Linked DNA regions of Daphnia pulex. The protein of the gene in region 3 purifies or fractionates together with the protein of the main gene of each other region. This does not show direct contact. Links are inferred from orthologs where the notes say so. Each region holds a gene or a part of one and is shown on either strand. Other genes may lie near its edges.

What was found.
Region 1: the proteins of cullin-associated NEDD8-dissociated protein 1-like (region 3) and DCN1-like protein 3 purify together in Homo sapiens (affinity purification with western blotting; 3 studies listed by BioGRID, with this or other methods). This does not show direct contact. The link is inferred for Daphnia pulex from reciprocal best matches to the Homo sapiens genes CAND1 and DCUN1D3.
Region 2: the proteins of cullin-associated NEDD8-dissociated protein 1-like (region 3) and cullin-2-like purify together in Homo sapiens (affinity purification with western blotting; 7 studies listed by BioGRID and IntAct, with this or other methods). This does not show direct contact. The link is inferred for Daphnia pulex from reciprocal best matches to the Homo sapiens genes CAND1 and CUL2.

The regions. Positions count from the first base shown.
Region 1 is NC_060026.1:10,627,892-10,631,927, reverse strand, and holds DCN1-like protein 3, read left to right. Parts: upstream 1-1,519; 5' UTR 1,520-1,561; coding exon 1,562-1,661; intron 1,662-1,726; coding exon 1,727-1,897; intron 1,898-1,961; coding exon 1,962-2,248; intron 2,249-2,310; coding exon 2,311-2,582; intron 2,583-2,642; coding exon 2,643-2,805; 3' UTR 2,806-3,442; downstream 3,443-4,036. Other genes in the region: nucleolar complex protein 2 homolog, read right to left, coding at 1-194, 805-973, 1,054-1,161, 1,235-1,258; uncharacterized protein LOC124205018, read left to right, coding at 3,853-3,878, 3,939-4,036. UniProt on the Homo sapiens protein: Contributes to the neddylation of all cullins by transferring NEDD8 from N-terminally acetylated NEDD8-conjugating E2s enzyme to different cullin C-terminal domain-RBX complexes and may play a role in the cell cycle progression by regulating the SCF ubiquitin E3 ligase complex, after UV damage.
Region 2 is NC_060021.1:10,405,197-10,409,344, forward strand, and holds the start of cullin-2-like, read right to left. Parts: upstream 2,960-4,148; 5' UTR 2,597-2,959; coding exon 2,277-2,596; intron 2,214-2,276; coding exon 2,104-2,213; intron 2,045-2,103; coding exon 1,804-2,044; intron 1,746-1,803; coding exon 1,499-1,745; intron 1,438-1,498; coding exon 304-1,437; intron 215-303; coding exon 20-214; 3' UTR 1-19. Other genes in the region: solute carrier family 25 member 46-like, read left to right, coding at 3,128-3,275, 3,347-3,456, 3,514-3,692, 3,828-3,884, 3,971-4,116.
Region 3 is NC_060021.1:5,208,455-5,211,882, forward strand, and holds the end of cullin-associated NEDD8-dissociated protein 1-like, read right to left. Parts: intron 3,384-3,428; coding exon 3,155-3,383; intron 3,078-3,154; coding exon 2,812-3,077; intron 2,721-2,811; coding exon 2,416-2,720; intron 2,364-2,415; coding exon 1,914-2,363; intron 1,852-1,913; coding exon 1,723-1,851; intron 1,640-1,722; coding exon 1,474-1,639; intron 1,404-1,473; coding exon 1,228-1,403; intron 1,160-1,227; coding exon 1,052-1,159; intron 975-1,051; coding exon 885-974; 3' UTR 581-884; downstream 1-580. Other genes in the region: GTP-binding protein Rheb-like, read left to right, coding at 51-180, 261-353. UniProt on the Homo sapiens protein: Key assembly factor of SCF (SKP1-CUL1-F-box protein) E3 ubiquitin ligase complexes that promotes the exchange of the substrate-recognition F-box subunit in SCF complexes, thereby playing a key role in the cellular repertoire of SCF complexes.

The DNA.
Region 1 (4,036 bases), on a different chromosome or scaffold from region 3:
GTTGTCTTCACTTTCTGATGAGTTAATAAACTCGTCGAGGCTCAATTTCGCCCATTTCTGATCTTTAACAACGGCGACATTGTTACCATTTAATTTTTTTGTTTGGCTTTGGATTGGTTTCTTGATAGGTCCACCTTTAGGTTTCCCAACAAATTTGCTATTGGTTTTAGATTGTTTCTTCATGTTGAGCACACAAACGATTGTCAAAATGAAAATGTAAAAGTAACACCGCTTTTAACTTACGCTAACGATGGACAACACGTGTCGCAGCCGTGTCTAAGAGCAGACGACTTAAAATGCTAGACTGTCATTTGTTTTTTTGGAAGAAAACAGTTTCGGGCAATTTCATTGGTTTACTGAAAAGCCGTCTGGATTGGACTAAAAAGTTTCAAATTTTTCCGTGTAAATCAAATATAGGTCTAAATTCTTAATTGTTTTGTTATTATAAATTTTTAATTCTAGACGTTTTAAACTATGAACAGTCGTTGTTCTATTTATCTTTTAAAATCTCATTCCATATTTAACTCTAACATTCCTTTTCTAAAAAAAAAGTAGTATCATATCATCATATTATCATAGTTTTAACCCAATTATTGTATGAAGTTTTTAACACAATTAACATATTTTATTTATGCAAGGCATATGTCATTAAAGAGCCTAAATGCATCATAACTGTAAACACAGTTAGGGAATTCTTAAATGATAGTGACACATGTGGTCTAATTAGATAATCAGAAAGCAATGTATTCAGCCTTTGACATTTCAAAACAATGAAAGAATTTGAGTTAATTTGTCAAACTGAACCCCTCATTGGAGGGGAGACCAGAATCACACCATCTCCACGTACAAAGAGCATGGGAATGTTGCGTTTAGTTGTTCTGTAAACTTCTTCATAAGTTTCTTCATCAATTTCAACAGTGGTTACTGTTTCTTCTACCTCACCTAGCACCATGTTCAAATGTTGATCATATGCCTATGGACCATAAACAATAATACAATATATTTTGGGAACACAATTTTATAGCAAAAAGCAATTTAATGTGCTCGACTTACATGTAGCCGGCCTCTCAACTCTCGTTCATTTCGCATTTTGACGTAAATTCTTTCATCGAGACTTAGGCGAATCAAATCAAGTGGCTCTTCCACAGTAATTACAGGGGCCTAAATGAAAGTGGCAATATGAAAGCTTGAATTATTAATTTAAAATTTAAAAAATGTGGAGTTGTATACATACTGAAGTTTCGTTTTCGTCCGCCATTTTGAATCTAGTGTAAAGTGTATTTTTCGGACGCAAGGAGGCTTTGTGATGCCTGTGTGCTTCGGACTAAACGTCACCCCCTCCCCCCACAAGTGTTTTGTGTGCCAGGGTTTTCCTTTCATTTTCTACATGATTCTCCTTTATATATTGGGTAGCTTTATATCTTACGAGATTTTCACGTAAAACGAGATCAGGGCTCAATGGTGATGTGCTAGTTACGATTTAAAAAGAAAAAGTGAATCGAAGGGAAGGGATTGAAGTTGTGAGGCTATAGCGCGCGATTCGGGTTTGTGAAATCCATCCATGGGGAATTGCTGCTCCTGTGTTAAAAGTGAGGCGAATACCAGATCATCCGTTGCTCCTGGAAATTATTCTCTTTCATCAAGTAAACTAGAAGACTCTGGTTAGTTGAAAATTTAATTTATAATGTACCTTTGTGTAACCCAATCCTTTTTCATGGTCACACAGATACATACCGTCCTTCACAATCGGAAGAGCTAGAGGACTCTAACCTGGTCATCAGCTCTGAAACATATGTGAATGGAAGTGGGTTGGACGCTAGAGACTCTAAAGGGGAGATGCGTAGGCCCTTTTATGTGCTCATTCCACCACTGGTTGGAAGAGGGAGTAATAGCTCAGGTGAATAAACATTTCTTTGTTATGAAGCCACCCATACACTTACTAAATTTTACATCTCAAACAGGTGATATTAAGAAGACAAACAACAATACCATCAATGGTGCATTAAGCACTGGTGGAATGGGGAATGGAACTAGTGCAGTGGAAGTGTCAGAAAACAATTTAGTGGCCTTCTATGAAAGCTACTGTGGAAATACTGAAGACAGGATTGAAGATGCCATAACCACTGATGGAATACTTCATCTGTGTGCTGATTTGGATTTAGCGGCTGACGACTTTCGTATTCTTTTATTTGCATGGAAGTGCGATGCAGCTCAAATGGGCAAGCTCAGCAAGAATGAATTCTTACAAGTAACAACACTAACAAATAATTTATTTAAAAAATTGAAATTAATGTGTAATCATTTATCCAGGGATGTCGACTATTAGGAACAGATTCGCCTCGTAGTCTCAAGTTCAGCTTAGAACAATTAGTAAAAGAAGTAGAGGACAGCGAAGTTTTCAGTGACGTTTACCGCTATGCGTTTCGCTTCGCTCTGGATGTAGAGTGTGGTCAACGCTCTTTGCCTGTTGATGTAGCCGTTTCACTTTGGCGGCTTGTATTTACTCATCGACCCGTCCCTCTCCTTGATCGTTGGATCGAATTTCTTGAACAGTCTCCTCCACCTGTTCGAGCTATACCCAGGTACAAATCACCAACAGTTGGGCATTTCAATGCAATTTAAATTTAAATTCTCTTCTTCAGGGATACATGGTGCATGTTTCTACACTTAGTGGACGCTGTGGGAAATGATCTTTCCCGCTACGACGACACAGAAGCTTGGCCTAGCCTTTTTGACGATTTCGTTGAATGGGCCAATGATCGAGCCAACCAAAATGTGCTGCACGCCAAGGAAGAACTACACTGATGGTGATCAACCCTCAGCTTCTTCCCGTATTCGTTTCGCTTTGCTGTATTAAGTTTTTCTCTCTTCTCACCTTGAATCGTTTCAGATGAGTGTATTAACTATGTGGTTTTTTAAGACATGATAATTGCTGATGGATGAGTGAGTTATTGAATTCGTATTTGTATCGGTTAGTTTACTTTGAATCTTCGTCCACCTTGACTCTCATTTATACTATGAAAACAATATCTGCTGTGATTCCTTGACGACTTTCGCCGTACAGAGTACTGACCTGCCAATGTCCCTCTTTTTTAAACGGCCCCTCTTGTTCACGTCTTTGAAATATCGTGTCTTTCTCAAACCACCTTTATTTTCTCCAATTGTTTATACTGTAGTTTGAGAAGAACTGTCTTTGATTGGTAACAATTTGATTGACCATGATTGCCACTCTAAAGAGTAGGTATATATTGGTATTTCTGTATACCCACCCTTTTTTCCCGAATGTAACGTACCGTAAGCCTGTTTGTGTGTTTATGTAAAATCGGTATTTTTCCTGTGACTGTTGATTGCTTTCTACTTGTTTATGTGCTATTCTTAGACCACTGTGGATGAAGACATCAATACAGATGTGAATGTAAGCCTTTGGCTTATACAGATGAAATTGTTTGTTCTTAGTTTGAAAACTTTGTAGTTAGTGAAGTGGCATCCTTATATAAATCCTCAACCAACCCAACATACATATATATTTAGTTTATAATTATTTTTATGTTGTTGTTTGTTAAAAAAAAGGAAACCGCAAACCAGCCGCAAACTAGAACTCAATAAACCAGATTTTAGAAAATTATAACCCTGTTCAGGCAGGCCTGTATCCCATGCCCATCCTCCGTTTCCCGTTTATTCTCCCTCCGACCCTCCCCCTTCTGAATCTGACCGCCAGGCGGCTCCTAAGTGATAGCAGACTACACTTGAAGACTAACCGAAAGAGAGAGAGTGATTTTCGCCGCTATTTCAAACAAGGCGTAATCTTTGTTTGGAATTTGATTGAAGGTCTTACTTTTCAATGTGCTTAAAATGGAAGTTGCAAAGCCAAATACCAGGTACTACTTGATAACTCATGGAATAAATGTATGCTGACTTATTTTTATATCTCTTTGAAGAACTCGGAAAGTGATAAATTATGCAGCCATGAATGGCGATAGATCATCAGATGATAGTGACAACGATTTCGTTGTCAACACTAAGGTTTCAAAACCCT
Region 2 (4,148 bases), about 5.2 Mb from region 3:
AACGTTGAGATTGCATTTTCTATGCCACATAGCTATATTCGTCCGTTGAATTAGGGGTACGCTCCAGGTACTGCTTGTCAATCAATGTCTCAATGCACTTTTTTATCATGCAAATGGGAGGAGCAAATCGGGGTTGGGACTGGCTCAACACCTCCTGAATTAAGACCATGTGGCGAAGAATCTTCCTAGATTTCATGATTCGAACGATTGTAGCCTTGGAAAGCCAAATGAAAAAAAAAAAAAAACTTTAGTTTGTTTTCGGATTTCTAACGCATTACGCTAAAATATTCGTATAATTCTTACCTGAAGGTACATTTTCCTGTCTTCGTTTACAGAAGAATGCGTCGTCTCGGTTTCTTGGACAGTCTCCTTTTGGATAGTGTTGTTAATACGAAACTTGGTTCGTTTGTTACTATAATCCATATTGAGGGAAATGACTGTAGATGGTTGGAAAACTTCGACAGTGTCACTAGTTACTGCCAAAAGCTTTGAGTCGACTAAGCTCTGAAGGACCTTTTGGAATTGATCCGAGTTAAGCTTCGTGGCTTCCATGAGTTCTCCACAAGTCACGGAATTGGTCTTTTGAAAGACAAGAAGCATTGCCATTTGGAAGGTTCCCATGGTGATGAAGTAACGCTTTTTCAAGTAGTTCAGTTTCAGCTCTCCGTAACTCAAGTGATGTAGCCATGCAAGCTTCCGGCCGTTAAACTGTAGACGATAGAAATCTTCAAATTCTTGGACCGATTTTTCCAACTCTTGGGGTACGGCGAAATCGGTAGGGCAGACTTGTCTAGGCCACGCACCGGTTTGCAAGACATAGATGGAGAAGTTGAGACCTAATTCAATCATCCGATCTTTGTTCAGCAGATTAAACTTGTTGTTCAGGTCTGATGAGACGGACATGTCCGTGAACATTCGATGAAGTTTGTTGGTAAACTCATATCCGCATGCCTGTTTCAATCGGTTGATCATTGCCTCTTCAGCGTCCATACTTTGACTCTGTTGTGAAATCAATCGATGTGCCAACTTCCGTGAGTAAAAAGCTTGATAAACATCCTTGTCGTCGATGTACTTGAATACAGTAATGCACTGTGTTAACTTATCGTCAACTTCGGTGTCACTACCGCCTTTTGTTGACTTCTTCAAGAGAGTATCACAATACTTGGCAAGTAGTTCTGGAGACCTACAATTTTGTTTAGTATTGAAGCGATGGTTGACGACTGCAGCACAGGCCATATCTAGAGCGCTGCTAAATAGCTGATCATTACTGAAAACAGTGTTGGTGATCTCCTTGTACTTGGAGTGGACACTAAGCATGCCCTCTACAAACTGGGCAGCAATGTTGTCTCCTGACAGGTTAGTCACTGTTCGCAATCCTTGTTGTTTGATGTGTTCCATGACGTGCGACACCAGAACAGTCAAACCTCCCGGAATCGACTGAACAAATTTTAGAAAACAATTAAAATTTATACTACGAGGCAATAAGATAAGCTCTCACCTTCAACAACGCGTACGCATTTCGAAGATCTTGTTGGAGTTCTTGTTGAACCATTGTCGGGCACTCGTTGTGGATAGCCGCCAAGTGATCTGCTACCATTCGTTTTTCGCATTCAGTTCGAACTTTACTGTAAGAGCTTGGGTGCAGGAATTTCCGACTACGTAAATCTTCTTCGTCCCGACGTTGCAAAACTTTTTCCATATACAAGGAAATTGTGCATTCCTGTAACAAGCGACTAGCTTCTTGCCTAAATTTGACCAAACAACTGTAATATGCAAATTTTTAACATTTTAATTATTTCTTACTTGTAGTATTCACCGGTCGCTTCAAGAAATGGCCCTTCAAAAACAGCCTCATAAAGTTCGAGGGTGTTCTTCTTCTTGTATTCCTCGACTGAAACAAACGACTGAATCACACCCTGAATTGTTGATGACTTTTCATTATACAAAGATTGTCCAGTTCGGTCACAATGTATGCCTCCCAAAAGTAATCTCAGCAAGTCGGCTTTCAATGGCTCTATCATATACTTCTTCCACAAATCCAAACCTAGCAAGCAAGTTTCGATAAGGATTCAGTACACCAAAAAAATTACAAATAGTGATTACCCAATTCTCCGATTTCTTTCATTTGTTCAGGTGATTCATAAGACAATGTCCCATAAAGAAGCTCGGCATCAGATGCTTTTTGTTTCTTGATGTGTTGGGTATTAAGGTATCTGTATTTGAATTAAAAGCATGTATTAACTTGTTTTATTAGAGAAAAGAAATGAATAAATTACGAGTAAAGTTTGTGCAAATAGTCCATTCCTTGGCTATATTGCTGCCAAAGTGTGTAATACACAGTCAGAAGCTGTTCTTCACTGGTGCCGTTCACTTGGATGAAAAGAGATTTAACATGCTCCTCCAAAAACTTTTTAGTTTCTTGGTACAATTTCTCAGCTAAAGGTTCTGGGTAAGCCACGCAGAGGGAATACACATCACTGAATCGATTGTACCATATAGTATGAGGAACATTTCCCAGAGTTACAACACCTTTAACTGTTTCCTTTAAATCAGCCCAAGTTGTGGTAAAGTCTACACGCTTCGGTTTAAGAGACATTTTGTGCAGTTATTAGAACAGCTGAATCAAAGTCCAAAAAGTGGATCATAGGAATTTTACAAAAAAAGCCAGAGTCCCTATTTCCAAGTTCAACGGGAGAAAACCAAAACTGATCTTCGTACAAACGATCATGCAATGACTACTGGCAATAGCAATGAAAAGACCTTAAGTTATTTACTTGTTTTTCGTATCGTAAATGAAGGACAAAGTTTCAGATTCCTTGAATAATCAATTTACTCGAGAATCTTAAGACCCTGGGGTTAAATAAGAATACAATTGGTTTCACAGAACAAGGATTCTGAAGATTAATAAAACGATTGCGCAGTGTGGGTTCGTCTGCTCTGGCCCCTTTGGCCTTCGCGAAGAAACGGAAAAGTTGTTTAGTTTATCATCAGATGGCAGCTCATTATTAGTAGTTATTCGTCTGCTGCGTATCACGAAAGAAAAAGTTAACCATAATACGAAAATAGTTTGTTTTTTTTTTACTTGGAATTCATAAACATTAATATCAAATCAAGTGTACAGGTTAGTATGGCTGGAACTGAGGACTACTCGTTCTATTACAGTTTAGAAAATTCTCCCTTTTGGATAAAAAAAGCTGATTCTGCTGCTTCTGCAGTAACTGATGGTAGGATACAACATGAAAACAAAGCTATTACGTCGCCGAAATATAGATATGGTATTAACAGTGACTTTTATCATCACACATTTTTTTGCAATGACTTTACATAATTTTTATTTTCTTGTAAGATGATATGATTGATGCAAGTAGAATCCCAAATCCCAGTTTTGGTATTATGAGACTAGCAGCTGAAAATCTACTATGCCATCCATTTTTAGTTCTGCGAAGACAGTGTCAGGTGAAAAATTCTTTACGTTAATTTGATAGTAAATTTTTTAATACTGCTTATCTGTAGGTTAATGTATTTTCTAGAAAATACCATACACTACCTTTCAGCTTGGTCCCAGTAGTCATTAGGCTACACCAAAGACAAAGCATGACTGTGTTATGGAAAGGAATTGGCAGTGCTTTAATTGTGAGAGGTCTCACATTAGCCATTGAGGATGTACTGAGCAAGATAACACCATGGCCAAAGTAATTTAGCATATAAAGTGGCAAATGTTGCCATGTAAGCTGTCCTCTTGTGTTCATTGAAATAGCCAGTGTGTGTTTATATTTAGACTGACAGAATATTCACTTGTTTTTGTTTTTTTTTTCTTTTTTTTTTAGAGAAATTGATCGTAACAGCTCATTGAAAGCAATTGGACACCACATCCTCTTGAAAAGGTATCACAAAAACACATTGAAATTGTCATACGACAATTATTAGCAGATATCTAAAGAATTTTTAAATCTATTTTTTGGTTCCCTAGCGTTTCCCTAGCTGTCGTGATCCCATTTTATGCAGCAAGTGTTGTAGAAACTGTTCAATCTGATATTGCAAGTGAAAAGCCGGGTATCTTTGATGTTTTTCAAGAAGGGATTTATAGGTTCTTAAGCTGGTCTGCCCCCCAAACAGGTAAAACATTTTTCCAAAATATTTACTAGGAT
Region 3 (3,428 bases):
ATCACTCAATAATTTTATGTCTGACAACCAGTTTCTTTTCATCACTATAGAATACCTCTTGTTATTGTTGGTAATAAAACAGACCTTCACCGTGAAAGAGTAGTCAGCACAGAAGAGGGCAAAAGGCTTGCCGACACTTGGAAAGCCTCATTTTATGAAGTTTCTGCTAGGTCACACGAGGTATGCTGATTAATATTCATTTGGAGATTTGAAATTGTACTTTCTATTAAGAATTTTTTTTTTTTTCCTTTCATCTCTAGTCTGTCTGCGAAATTTTTAACCGACTGATAACGGAAATGGAGAAAGCAGATAGCAGTAATGGAAACGAAAAGAGCAGTTGTGTTCTGTCCTGAACGGGTATGAAATGTAGAAAAATCTACCAGCGCCAATTTTTTTCCCTTCTAATATTACGCAGTTTTTCATAACGACCGTTATCTCGGTTTCTTGGATTTGTGAAGCAACGTTGAAAAGCTTTCATGGTGAGCGAAATACATTTATCATTTGTACTATGTAAGTGGTTCTTATCTTGTATAAACGATGTTCACCAAATTTAGGTTTTGAACATTAAATACGATTAACATTTTGCAGGAAAGTTGTATTTCTCGATTTTGAATATCTAAAATGACATGGGGGAAAAGATGAAATAACGCAACAGATCTTTTTTTCTCAGAAAAAGATACACACCGTGCTGAAAAGTGCATCGTAGTGGAACTGAACTTAAACAATGTTCAACGCATCCGTTCAAGAAGAATGGTTAATACATGTACCCCTACTTCCCTTTCATCCACCATAGACATTTCAAAGAAAAGAACGAAACAATGTTTCATTCGTGACAATTCCCCGATCCGATTTTTTCGATAATAGATACATAATTATACACCACTTTAACTTAAATCCATGTTCGAATCACTGGATCCACCTGCAGCATTTCCATGATGTCCGGAGCCATCTTTCTGGATCGAGTCGAAAAGAGTCTGAAAATGGTAAGTGTAAAAATTTTAAGTTTAGGCGAATAGTACGTGCTGGTTTTTGGCAGTTGTTATTTAGTTACCTGAAGATCGGGTGATGAACGAATATGCAGAACGAACTCGTTAAGTTGTGGATTTTTGTCCGAATCAGGAATGATCAGCAATGCAGTCACGGCTCGCATGGCAGATCGCTATTTTAAATATTTCGTTTGATTACCAATTCATTTGATTCGGTTCTATAAAGTAATAAATCAATCACCTTAAGTTCATTTTGCATTTCATATTCTTGTTTGACTGCATTCGCCTTAACTCTAGCCGTGCAAGTAGTTCGTAGGGGTTCGACTAATCGATCGAGGCGTTGAAGAACGGCAGTAGGACACAACGTGGCCAGACGGGCAACCATTAAATAAGTCAGCATTTTGATGTCGTTGTGATCTGTAAGAAGTTGTAAATGAACGTGAGCTGTAAGTAACATCGTTTTTGTTCCAAGAAACAAAACACCAACCTTTCAATCCCAGTTCAACGTGATTCAAAAATTCGAAAACATCCAATCGATCAAGACATGAATCCAGAAGGGTATACATGCATTCGAAAGCGGCTTTACGAAGGTCAAGACCATCGTCAACGGTGTGCTTAAAGGGACCCATTTCCACTTCGCGGACCAACTCTTTCTAAAAATTATAATTAGTTATAATTTTTTTTTATTTAGCATATTTTAGTTTTAAGAAATTGATTCCATCACTAGAATACTTACTCTGACTTTGGTTTCGTTATAGAGCTGAGGCAAAACGGAATCGAGTAAGTCTCGGACCAAGGAAGGCTTGTTGTGTGCTGCCGAATTAAAGGCAATTAATGCCACTCGTCGCACATTCAAGTCATCATCCTATTACAGAATCAATTAAATACTGATCCGTTCTAATCAACCCCAATGAAATTGATCATTACCTGTAAGGTTTGAAGGAAATCGCCCATACATTGCTTCAGCAGAGGATCAATGGACTGGACTTGATCAGAAATTGTGAATTTGGCTGCTGTGACGATCGTGGTTCTCATCAACGCACTAGGGCTGTTCAGAGCTGCTCGAAGTCGTGGAAGCAATCCCTCTGGGTCTGTGAGAGTAAGCTTTCCCAAACACTCCGCCACAACATTGCGTGTTCCTTCTTCGTTACACTCGCAGTGACGGAAGAGAAGATCCCAAATTTGGGGTACGAAAGGGCGCAGTTGTGCAATGGCCTCGGTTCCAAGTGACAGCGAAGTAATCACTTCCTTTAACGAGTGGAGCAACAAATACTGACGCCGTGATTGAGTTTCAATCTGAGTAAGAATGAAGGGCAAGAAAGCTGGAAGATTTCCCACTGCTACTGAACCGAGGGCGTGCGAAGCTGCAGATTTTACCTAAAGAAAACGGATATAGATTGATGTTGACGTTAGAAAAGATTAGAAATACTTCTTCATTTGGTGGGCCGAAGGAATCGATGATTGCTTGTCCCAACCCTGGGACTTGGTGAAGATCCATTCTTTTGCCAATTTCTCCCATGCAGAGCAGGGCAAAGATGTGTTGCCAATCAGAATGAGGTCTCTGAGCTTCCTGAAGAAAATTCTGTACCAAAGTAAAAGCTTCAGAAACAGGTTGCGTCACAACCAGTGAAGCAACAGCCTGGGCGACAGAATGATGGGCAGTCTTGTGGAGACCAGGTTTTGACGCCAAATTCATCAGACACATCAACAAATCGCGGTAGCCAAGACCAGATCCTGAATGGAAAGTAAAAGTGAACAGTTAATATTGTTAATAAGTTGTCTTCTAAGTAATACAGTTGAAATTAAGAGAAAAAAAATCACTAACCCGGAGCATTAAACTCGACCAAAGCCTGTAGGAAATCGAGAAGGGATCCCAGAGCCACACCTTGAAGCAAAGGTGAGCGCAAGAGATTGAAGACTTCGGACAAAATGCCTCCATTAACTCCACCGGTTTGAAACGCCGAACGCTGATTCCGCGCAACAGAAGTGAGCAAATGAAGGGTTAGCTGCGCGATGTGCAAATCAGATTCCGACAGCAGAGGCGGTATTTCGGTTAAAACCGCATGCAGTAGTTCCGGTGTTAGCGCAGCGCTAAAAAAAAAACAAAGAAAGAGAAGTCTTAAAGGGAACCAAGAGGAAAAACATAAAACTTTTAAGTAAGTTATTACCTGTAGTTGTTGACGATACGATCGAGCAAAGCAAGGGTAGTTAGTTTAAGTGCCCGCTGGTTCTTACGCAAAAATCCCGCAAGAATTGGAAGTGCTTCGGGCAACAATGGGCTTATATTGATGTGTAACGGAGACGAAGCAATTTTTGTTAAAGCTTTGACTGTCGTTAACCGGGTAATCTCGTTTCGAAGACGATCCAAAAAGATGGGGAGGCATACCATTAGTTGATCTGAGCAAAGAAGTTGTGAATTCAAAAGTATGCAGAATTTATCAT